Linked DNA regions of Drosophila melanogaster. Changing the gene in region 2 together with the main gene of any one other region gives a genetic interaction. Each region holds a gene or a part of one and is shown on either strand. Other genes may lie near its edges.

Region 1 (3,753 bases), 230 kb from region 2:
AAACCGAAAACAGAAAACCAAAAAAACCGGATTCCAAGCCGAGAAGGAGCGAAAAAGACGGCGAGAGCGACCACTGGCCACTGGCACTGGCTACAAGTGAACTGGTTTACAAAGAAAAGAAACAGAAATGAAAGAAACATGTGAAAAATCACGATCTATAAAGCCGATGCACTTAATACCCTAGGCAAAATAAGTAAATAATACTATAGATCAAACTAGAGTAGACTTGTTGAAAAAAAAACACTGGAATAAATAAGAAGCTTATAAACTATCAGCTTATTAAACTAAGTTTGCCTAAATTTCGTAAAATATATTTTTAAAACCTAACGCGATGCTTTGAAATTCTGTAAAATTAAAGTTTTTCAGAAATGTAACGTTATTAACACCGATTAATATTTTTAAATAATATTTTACAAATTGTGTACACCATTTTCAAACGAAGTACCCTTACCAAGAGCACCCATAAGAGACCCCCAGAATTCCAAGCGAAGGTTTTTCGAGTCCGGCTCGAACCGACCAACTCGAACTGAGCGCCACAGCAACAACAATGGGGCAAGCGGGTGGTTCAGGATGGTGGGGAAGTTTGCGGGGGGATGGGGGACGTACTCCACCGTGGACTGTGCGGCACCACACTGAGTTCAGTGGCAATGACAGTGGCACATGCAGTTGTAGTGGAAGCCGCTTGTCGGTCGACAGTCCGCCAACCGCCAACGTTGTTGCGCTCTCTTTCCTGTTTTTTCGCCCCGTCTCATTCTATTTGTGGAGCAGGTTTTGAGATATATCTTGGGTCTTTCTCTCTCTCTCCTTCTCTGTCTGCGTACTCGTTATATTTTTGTACTCGCTGCCTTTTTGGCCAACGCAAAAAATACCAAAATAAAAAAATAATAAACGTAATTAGCTAGCCCTACGCCACAAACAGAAAACAAAAAAAAAAACAACAAAAAATAAAACAAGTAAAAATAAGTGGTGTGGAATTTTTGTGTTCATCTGGGAAGGCAGGGCCTGTTCTCGGCGGAATCTTACCTGTGGGTTAAACAGAAGAAAGCCCCAGGCTCTTTGGGCTTTATCTTTGCGTCCTAAAGTATCCAAGTAGTTGTTTCAATATGATTTTGCTGGTTTTTTGTCAGTTTGTAAGCTTTGAAATGCTTGGCATTGTTTTTGGTTTTTAAAGTAGTAATTTATATCATTTAAGTGGCACTTGAATTGTATGTTGTTTTTTCTTGTTGTATTTGTTTGAAGACTTCTGTTAATACGATTCTGTGAATTTAAAAGTAAATAATTTTATTAAAATTTTCAAAATATTTGTCGGAAATTTTTTGTTATATTTTCAGGTTTGATTTTAATTTTAACAAGTATTTCACCGAATCATTCTCAAGTAAATGTATTTAAAAAAACACGCACACTAAGGGACAATTTTGAGATTCAAATCACGGCACGATCGCCCCAGGGGGTGGGGCTGAGGGGGCGGCAGGGGGGCGGTTACGGGAGCAGCAGCAGCATCAACGGCAGTCAGCTACCACAAACCACGTAGTTTTTTTCCTTCCAAAATCCACGTACAACTCGCGCACAAACACACGATGTATTTGTATCTCACAGATATGAAAACCGAACGAAGAAAAACCCGAACCGAAACCTCAACCTCAACGAACTGAAAACCGAACGAGAACGAGAGATACACGGCAGCTGAAATGTGTTTTTCTACATTTTGTTTGAAATAGGAGCTGAAGCCAGTGCAGCTACCAATTCGCTCCTCAAGTAGTCCCAAACTCTTCCCACACACAGAGTCAGTTGCAGTTGAAAAGCGCTTTTCTCGAGGCAACTGGCGATGCAACAAGTTCACTCACACACACACACACACTAGCGCTCTGGGCCCGCTCAATAAGATACATCGGCGGCGAAAGATACAGATAGATATAGAGCGAGAGGCACTCACAATGCAGTTCACTTTTCCAACAGCTATTACCAGCGATCCGCGCGCAGGTGCGTTGGCCACGATCAACTCTCGAAGACTGAGCCACGAACCCAAGAAACAGGGCCCGAATGGAAAAAGAGAGAATCGAGAGAATCGCGGGCTGAGAAATGCGTAGAAAGAGACAAGCGACGAGTAGCGAGCAGTGGCACTAAAACCAGCTTAGTGCACTGTGGAAAAAGTTTTAACAATTCTTAAATATCTGAAGAGTAAGGCTCTAATTTTCTGTAAATAACAACAGTATAAATCTATCTGCTTAAATATACTAGATAAATAATGGATGCATTTACATATTTTTCTGAATTAACTAGTAACTTATATTCAGTTTGAATATAGTACGACATTTCTTTCAGTGGAGGAGAGGAATTAAACCGAACTCAACCCAAACCCAACCGGCCGCCAGTCGCACGCTGCTAAATGGACGGATGGGCCCGTGGACGGACTTATATGGAGACTGGCACTGGCGGAGCGTGGAACGTGCATTCGTACGACGAGTTATTGTCAGTTAGAGCGCTACCTGTTTACCGACCGACTACCGACTACCACCGACTGCTTTTTTTTTTTTGGCCCAGTCGAGAGGGTAGGGTACAATTGGCCCGGGTGTTGCCAGATTGCCGTTGCTGCTGCTGCCCATGGATCGTTATGGTGGCTTCACCCGAAAAGGAGGAGGAGGGTGTAACTCTGGTAGTTCCCTGTTTATTGTTATGCCTTTTTAGTGGGGGTGTATTTTGTTCTTCGGCTTTTGTTGCGGTTTCATTTAGGGGAATGACTAATCAGAAAGCATTTTTAGGGAGGCAAGGTGATAAGGTTTCTTCGAAGAAGGGGTTGCCAAGTCGAAAGTTGGGGTGAAATAAAGTGCATTACTCACACGACTATATATCTATATTATGACAAGTTCCAATGTTCTACTGATAAGTAAATATTTATTTGGAATAATTAGTTGGTAGCTTTAGGGAAAAATATTTATACATATGTATTTAAATATACACTGATGATTAATCGGCAGCCGAGTTATACAATTCATTTATGGAAATAGGTCGTAAAACAATATAAGTCTAGAAACCATCTTATCGCCAGACTGACTTTTATTAATGGTAATTAGTCCTTATAAAAGAAGGCGAGCACGGGAACTTGGAAAAAAATAAAACATAGGTAAATGATTGATTCGAGCTAGGCTATGTAAATAGGTCTTATATTATTATAATAGACTGTAAAATTTCTATTCTAACAATCTGGCAACCTCTGCTCGCAATGCAGCATCAATGCGGTCAAGTGGTAAAAGAAAAGACGTTAACAAAAAGACCAAAAATCAGCTAGGGTCCCAAAAGTAGAGGGAGTTACGTTTCGGCCACGACGGTGATCATGGTCGTAATGATTCCGAGATGCAGAAAAGAAAAACCCGAAAAGTACCCAACAAAAGAGAGTCCGTAGCCATGTAATTAAGGTGCTGCACAGTGGAACTAAATTGTGGCTGCTGCCACTGCAAAAACAGTAAGTGGAAATGGAGATACAAAGCGGCAACAGGCAGAAGACCAGAAATAAGTGGTAGAAAAGAGAAGACGGAAAAACGGTAGCTGCCTCATAGGGCGAGCGAATTGTTATGCTAGTCGTCGTCGACTTCCCCCATCAACAACTGTTGCTCTTGCTGCACTCGGAAAATAATTTTCAGCATATATAAATAACAATAAGTAAATAAGAAATAAAATAAATAATTACCATAATTGGTCTCCCTTATAATTGGATTCCACAATACATAAAATTGAAATTGACTATTGTTTAATAAT
Region 2 (3,753 bases):
TCATTTTTCAGACTCTTCTTTGGAGGGTTCATAATTAGTTTCTCCTTCAAAAGGAAGCTCCTCACAATTGTCGATACGTCTCCTTTTCGAGTTTGCTGATTGGCCATTTAAAATATGCAAATTTGATCCGAAAAACAATAAGACAGATGGACACAGATGGAGTGAAACAAAAGCGAGGCGGACAGAGATGAAGCCATCAAAGTGGAGTTGCCAACGGATTGCACTTAAAAATGCCCAAAAGCAGTCGAAAATAATTTGTTAAGCTTTATGGACAGGCGAAAACTTAATTAAAAACAATCCTTTTCTGGCGCACCTAATTAAAAACACTGGGTGTTAAGTTAATGAAGTTTCTTGCTGAATGAACGACACAGTTTTTCAGATTTCATTGAGAAATCGTAAAAGATAAACAGATATGGTGAGGCACAAAAGATAAACAGACCATCAATATGGTGTTTTTGTAGTATTATTTTTTCGGGTCTAAAGAGGCCACACAAGCAGAAGAGCGACAACAAAGGCGGAGGCGGCAAAGCCAAAGGAAATGCGAGAAAAAAGTTTCTCAGGCCCTGAAAACAAAATGGAGCTCCACAAAAAAAGAAGATAAATACACTAAAAATTGAGCACTGCGTAATACGGTTGCTCTGCTCTGCCACTGGTTTTTATATTTGGCCTCTCGCTCGCTCGCAAAACGGGTTAAGAAGCAGTTAAAAAGGGGGTGAGCGAGCGAGACGGCGCGAAAGAGTGGGACAGACAGAGCGCCGCCCAAAGCCACGCCCACATCTATAAAAATATACACAGGTATAAGTGAAAGAAAGTTACCTTTTTAGCCAAACAGCAGCTAGAAAGACAGAGAAGAAGTCCGAGGAAATCCAAAGAAATCGCAAGCTTATTACAGCCCGCATTATCCAGCACACCTTTCACTCATTAGTCGCCTAAACTTAATTGAAATGTTGGCTTACTTAAGCTTAATTAACAGTCAACTCAGGTAACGCCTTCGAAACCACTCAACTCAGGTAGCCTTCTCTCGCTCGCTCACTCTCCAGTTTTCTCAGTTCGCTCTTTAGCTCATTTTCCTCCGACCAATCAGCTGAAACACTCAAAACTCGTTCTCCGCGACCCAAACAGTGCGTGGGAAAGGGACAGCCAACCGAGAGAGGGCTGTAAAAAAGAGGGTAACCAAAAAAAGGAAAACAGAAAAAGTTCAACCCATCAAGCTGAAGTTTTCGATCGTAACTTTGCAGTTGACTCTCGCGCACAGAAGCGTTCGGAAGTGAAATATATTTTATTAATAATATTACCCAACACAGTGCTACCAAACAGAAATTGCATACAATTTGTGTCTTGCCAAATAGCAAACGGAATTTCGTGCTTTCGCAATAGGTAAGTGACGCCATTTTGTGACTTTTACGCTTGGCTTCCGTTAGAAGAGACGCCATTTTGTGGCTTCCGTTTGCCAGCTTCTGTACTTACGCATAAGAACTTAGGGCGAGCGAAAGGGATGGCTAGCGAGCGCTGCGCATGAGCAGTAGCTTCGGCTACCGGTCTTCGTTTTGCTTCGTTTCTCTTCGGATGACTCACACACACTTACACACACTCACACAGTGCCACCGAATTGAGTAACAGACAGGGACAGAGCGATGATCTCGCTTCCTCAACTTGCCAGCAGCGACGCCGGCAGCGACGCCGACAGAGGACGGCGGCAGAGGCGACTACTATTTCTTTCAGTTATTAGTAGCATTCATTCATTCAACTTTGTGCCGCTCGAGCGTGCGTATATAGTTCCCTCTCATCAGTAACAGTATCAGTAACAACATCAGTAACATTTCCTTCGCGAGTACCTTCAAAAGAGATACAAATCGATCTATCCATTCAGCGGACATACGAAAATCGCACAAAACTCAGCTATAGAAATCGGTTAGCCTCTACTCGAGTCCGAAGAACGCGTAACTCCAGTGCATCCCATTGGGTAAGTCTTTCTTCAGCTCCTCTCTTCAATGGCGTTCTTCGTGTTCTTCTGTTCGTCGTTCTTCCCCCTTCCACACTTGTTTCGCTACCAGTTTTACGCCGCTTTCATTGGACAACTGAAAACTGAGCAAAGAAAAGAAGAAGTAAACCCCACACGTAACACGGGTGCGTGTATCGGCCTCTCTTTCTGCCCGGGCCTCTCACTTCGGCTCTTTAGTGTGCCAGAGGGAGAGGGGCGATGCGTCTAATATGGCATGCGTGTGGCCAACGGAGCTTTTCGGCCTCTGTGTGCGTGAGAAAGTGTCGCCATTTGCCAAAATGGCGGACGCCAAGTCCGAATATTTCCCTATTGGACTGTAAAAAGTTTTTACCCGCACTTCTTGACACGAATTCCCCAAAATGGGTGATCTACTTGAAATACAACCGAGTTTATTGATCTCTCATTGTATAGTACAAATGTGTTATTAATTTCCGAAATGAATGAAGAAGAAATAATTTGTATCTCATAAAAAAATGCTCATTAATTTTCGAAAAGAAAACTATTTAATATTATTTTCTATTAAAGTTGGTCTAAAAAAACATTTGAGCTCTCTTCAGAACAAATATAAGTTTTTATTGTATCCTAAACTTTCAACCTGTTCTATTTTTAAAGGTTTCAGTCGTTTTCCATTGAAATTGTCTAGGAATTGAAAACTCTTAAAGCCGTCGGCATTTTTTCAGATTGAAAGAATAGAAGCTGAGAAGTTTAATGAGTCAGCATTAAGAACAAAAAGCCTAGTTTGTCGAAGGTTGATCGCGGACGCACAAAACACGGCAAATCATCGCCAAGAATGTTTGGCATATCATCATCAGCCGTTTTGGTACAAGTTATTTGCCTATGAGTCATGGAGTTGTGCTTTTTTCATTGGATTATGAAATACCAATGAGTACGGCTCAAGCTAACAACAGATGTTCAAAAAGTTGCGTCAAAGTCAGGTACTTTGAAATACCTGAGATTTGGCACTTGTGCGAAAATTCCAATGAATCTGGTGCGAAATCGCAGAAATCAGAACCCATATTCTAGGGGAACTTTCTGGAAGTAGGACTAACATTTACAATATAGGGAAATTCGTTTAACATAGTTATACTGAAGTAAAGTTGTTGTAAGAGTTTCGTGACCTCTGAAATTCTTACTGCTTTCCCGCGACCATTTCTTTCCCGTCTGTCTGATCTTTGACCTCGTCTGGACCTCCCGCTGCGCTCCATCAATTAGAGTCTAATTAGCTAAGCGATTACGGTAAATGGGCTCAGCTGGCAGCTAATCTGCGCCGACTTTTGAGCAACTGTCATATCTTACGGGCTGAAGGTGAGAAGCGTCCGAAATCGACTTGCTTCGGCCACGAAATTCCCATCCGATTTGCGATGGATCTAGGGAAGATCGCTCATACCTTGCCGCATTGTATCTTTGTATCTTGTGGTGTGTTTGTGTTTGGGGTTACGAAGGTATTCCTTTGTTCGCACTGAAGTGGCAGTGCCACACATCCTAATTGTTTCCACCGACTTATTGGTTCTGTTGTCAGGCCAGGATCTCGTGTGTGTGGGTGTTTTTCCCGGGAATTCTGCGCCATTAGCACAATTAGATTCGTATCAAATGGACTTCGGTGCCTTTGTCTTCAGAGCCTTATGTCCTTTTATTGTCATTTTTTCTCGCTTCGGTTTCTTCTTTTCACTTTTCGGTTGTAATTTTTAATGGCACCTTGCCAACTCACTGTCCGCCTCCTACAAAAAATAAAGGGATGACCACGGTGCGAG
Region 3 (3,753 bases), on a different chromosome or scaffold from region 2:
CGGGTGCGAATTGCCCTTTTTGTGCCTTGCCGCCCGTTTCCCAAAGGAGAGGTCGCACAAAAGGTGTGCGCTGCCACCTTGATATATGTGATATATGCGAGCGAGTCCCTCTCTGTGGGTTGTGGGTCCTGCGAGATTCGAGTCCTGTGCGTCCGTCCTGCCTTGCGGCGAAATAAAGGCGAGTGGCCCCGCTGCGCAACACAACTGCTTCCTGCAGCAGTTGCTGCACGCTGCACTTACGGTTAGACGCAAGGACACACCGTCCGCTGTCCGTTTCGGCCCGCTATCTGACCATCTACAGCTGTTTTCGGCTGCCCAAAACAATGCGGCCATAATGCAGCAAAACTCTCAATTTAATTAGACCGTCAATTGTGCAAGCCCTCGAAAGTAGGGAGAAATATGGGCATATTTGACATAGGGATGTCCTAGGTAGATGGGCGTCCGGGGGTTCGCCAGTTGGGAGTACCTGGCCCACTGGCCAGAGATTTCACACTCTTCTTCTAGTTACCCACCCAAAGCGGAATTGCGACAATATCAAGCCGAACTCATCGAGATGGTCAAATATCAGCGCTGCGATTATCAAAATAAATAATTTGAGGTGAGTTATAAATGTATCAAAAAATGATGAAACAACTTAATGTTTTACGATTTTTATGTAAATCTTTATTAATTAATTACCCATACGAACAGATTTAGGCATATATATGTATATTATTAACTTCATTTAAACAACTTGAATCATGTCAAATGAATTTGAATGGTATATACATATATAATAGATTGTGAGTGCCAAAATCACTACTTCAGTTATATTGATTGTGGTTCGAACACGTATAAATAATATTACTATAAAAATGTATATATTATGTATTATTATATATATTACTACTGGTATTGAGAAGAATTGTAACTGCACAATTGGTTGATTCCTTAGTGCTTTATCCTATTTTACGCTTTATTCCTTATAATTACTAAATTAATTTTAATATACAAAATATATAGCAATTTACTAGTTGTTAGAAAAAGTTGAAGAAAATGTAATATTGGTTAACGTTCCTCGTGGATAGTTCTCGAATGGATAGTTTACCTGGATTAGCGAGCTGAATAGCGGTGTTATGTTGGTCATTTCCGTTGATCACTTTCTAGACCGATTTGAATGTCAGGACTTTTTGGGAGGGGTGAGCAGGCCGCTCAAGGTCACCCAGAGAGTTTGAGAGAGGGAGAGAGAGAGAGGACCTAGCTGACCGGGCTTAGAAGAGTGAGACAGAGCCAGGTAGGCCTGGTCTTTTGGGGCACCAGGTAGGCTGCCTCTCTTCTTTTCCCGCTCTTTGAGTGAGTGACGCGGATTGGGCAAGTGGGAAAATTCCAGTTGCAATGGCGACCGGCCCAAGATCGCCCTGGTCCGCAGGAGCGAGCGGGATGGCGCGCGAGGACAGCCGGTTGGCAGGCTCAAAGACGGCACCAATACACACTTCGGCCAGGTAGGCGCATACGCACACACGTGCAGGTGACCTGGGAATAGGATACCCCGAATACGATCGGTGAGAGCGGGCGCGGGAGCGGGACAGCCTGCGGTTCTTCGGATCTGAATCTGATCGGTCCGAATCGGCGGTCTTCTTCTGGCTCGGACCATGGCGTACCGCTCGTCGGCACTCGGCGGGCAGCGACGCCGGCAGAGGCCGCTCAGCTCGCCTCAGTTCCCATTTCAGTTTCGGTTTCGGCCTTTTGGCGCTGCTCATCGGTCGGTCGGTTGGTCGGTGGTCGGTCGGTATCGCTCTGGTATTCTGGTATCTGGTATCCGCAGCCTCTCAGCGAAGAAAGCTGGTCAAATCCAGCGCGACTTTGGGCTCAGTTCGGTTTCACACTCGAACGCGAGCAGAAGTGTCCGCGAATCAGTCTCCAAAGCATCGAAATCACCAAATCAGAACACAAACTGAAGCACGGATTTGAACTCGATCTGTGGTCAAGTGGTCTCACAAATATTATATATAAATACATTTTTTTGCGAGTGTTGTGCTGCAAGTGTGTCCATTGAAAACCGCCGGAAAATCAACGAACAACGAATCTCGAACGATCATCGAACATTTGGATTAACGTACAGACTTTTGGGAGCTCAGGCGCAGCACAAACCACGGGGATCCCGCGAGGATCCTGAACGATTCCATTTTTCATCTATAATGCGGTGTGTGTATTATTTTTAATTTGATCAAGACTTAAGAGCAGGCACAATTGGAGAGTGGAGAAGCGATCGAAAAGGATATTTTGGTCAATATCAATTCTCCACTCTTCAAGTGACTTATCAACAAGAAACGACCAACGATCTACTGTTAAGCAAAAAGGACATTCTGTGACAGCAACTGCAATTTTGGGAATTAGGATTAAATTATATAGTTTAATTAATTCGCTCTGCATTAAAATGCAAATCCATTCAGGATATTGTTACTTGTGCGAATCCTTTCCGTTCGTTTTTAGCAGCAAACGATCTTCAGTCTCGAATTTTAATCCTGTCAGATAAAGTAGCTAACTTGAATGGAGAATTTGAAATGTTCAAATTTTAGAATTAGCCCCAAATCCAAAATTCAACCTCAAAAGTTTCCATACACTTTCACACACTGGAAGTTAAAGCCAAGCCAAGCCAGAAGGCAGAGATTTGTCGCCTGGAGAAGATTAGATCCTCGAAACTTGGATCGATACGTCTTCGTTATTCGCTCAGGCTACTCTCGAGTTAATTGTCTAAATTAAAAAGTTTCCCCGCCCTCAATATACACACATATCGCTCTGGAAAAGACAAAAAAAAAAAAACAACGAAAAGCAAAAAAAACCGCAAAACAAACATAGAGAAAATGTTAAAAAAATCGAACCAAATTGTTGAGACTGTTGTCTGGTTGCAGTTGCATTCGCATTGAAGGAGGCTCGGCCGATCATCCGACCCGTAATCCCGATCACCTCAGAGCTCCAGCATCGAAGCACCCGACCACCCAATCCCACCCAGTAACCCATCCACTCCCAAGGGAGTCCAGTTAGTTAACCATCTAGTCAGGGAGGAACAGTGATAGCAGTTGATCGTTGGTCGTCGCGCGTTGTAGCAGAAAATTGAATTTACTTTTGCATTCTCGATACTCATAGTGTTTTTTCTCCACATCTCTTCCCTTCTGACCCCCCATCCCCACCCTTCACATATATCCTATATATATATATTGTAACCCCGTTCGCTGTATCTGCACACTGATTTCGATACGGACCGCGGACAGTAGTTGGTTGGCAGTGCGCTGCGACCACAGCTAAAAACAGCACCACGGCAGCCGGCAACGGAAACGGAAACATCAGCGGAAGCGGTAGCGGTAGCGGTAACGGATTCCGGCGCAGAAGAGAAAGTGGCTACCATGCGGCGATGGCTCGTCCGCTGCTCCTGCTCCTGCCCATCCTACTCGTCCTGCTCCTTGCCGCCCAGTTGCCCCACCTCGCCGAGGGGCGCAGCACCACCAGCAGCGGCGGTCTAACGGTTATCGATAGCGAGCGCCTGCGCATTCGCACCACCTCCAGTACGGCTTCAGCTCAGCATCCCAATCAGGGCACGATCCCTGCCAGCGCCGCTAGTCCGCGCAAGCGCCACAGAAAGCGGAACAGCAACTGGATCGACTATCGCAACTTCGACGAGAACACCACCGCCCTGGAGTGGGCCAATCCCTGCGGTGGCAACTATCATCCCTCGGCGGGTGATCGCTTCAATCGCCAGCGTCCCAGGCAGGTGAG

What was found.
Region 1: of drm (region 2) and bowl, changing one suppresses a phenotype caused by changing the other (phenotypic suppression), as found in Drosophila melanogaster (one study listed by BioGRID).
Region 3: of drm (region 2) and upd1, changing one suppresses a phenotype caused by changing the other (phenotypic suppression), as found in Drosophila melanogaster (one study listed by BioGRID).

What each region holds. Positions count from the first base shown.
Region 1 is NT_033779.5:3,769,965-3,773,717, reverse strand, and holds the start of bowl (brother of odd with entrails limited), read right to left. Parts: upstream 2,019-3,753; 5' UTR 1,845-2,018; intron 1,799-1,844; exon of another isoform or gene 1,703-1,798; intron 1,693-1,702; exon of another isoform or gene 1,402-1,692; intron 1,258-1,401; 5' UTR 1,024-1,257; intron 1-1,023. UniProt on the Drosophila melanogaster protein: Putative transcription factor. Required for leg joint formation, acting downstream of Notch to pattern the leg tarsal segments. Functions in the terminal pathway during embryogenesis, acting downstream of tll in the posterior of the embryo.
Region 2 is NT_033779.5:3,538,015-3,541,767, forward strand, and holds the start of drm (drumstick), read left to right. Parts: upstream 1-1,718; 5' UTR 1,719-1,963; intron 1,964-3,753. UniProt on the Drosophila melanogaster protein: Putative transcription factor. May function redundantly with odd and sob in leg joint formation during the larval stages, acting downstream of Notch activation.
Region 3 is NC_004354.4:18,307,238-18,310,990, reverse strand, and holds the start of upd1 (unpaired 1), read left to right. Parts: upstream 1-1,699; 5' UTR 1,700-2,182; intron 2,183-2,731; exon of another isoform or gene 2,732-3,254; 5' UTR 3,255-3,391; coding exon 3,392-3,748; intron 3,749-3,753.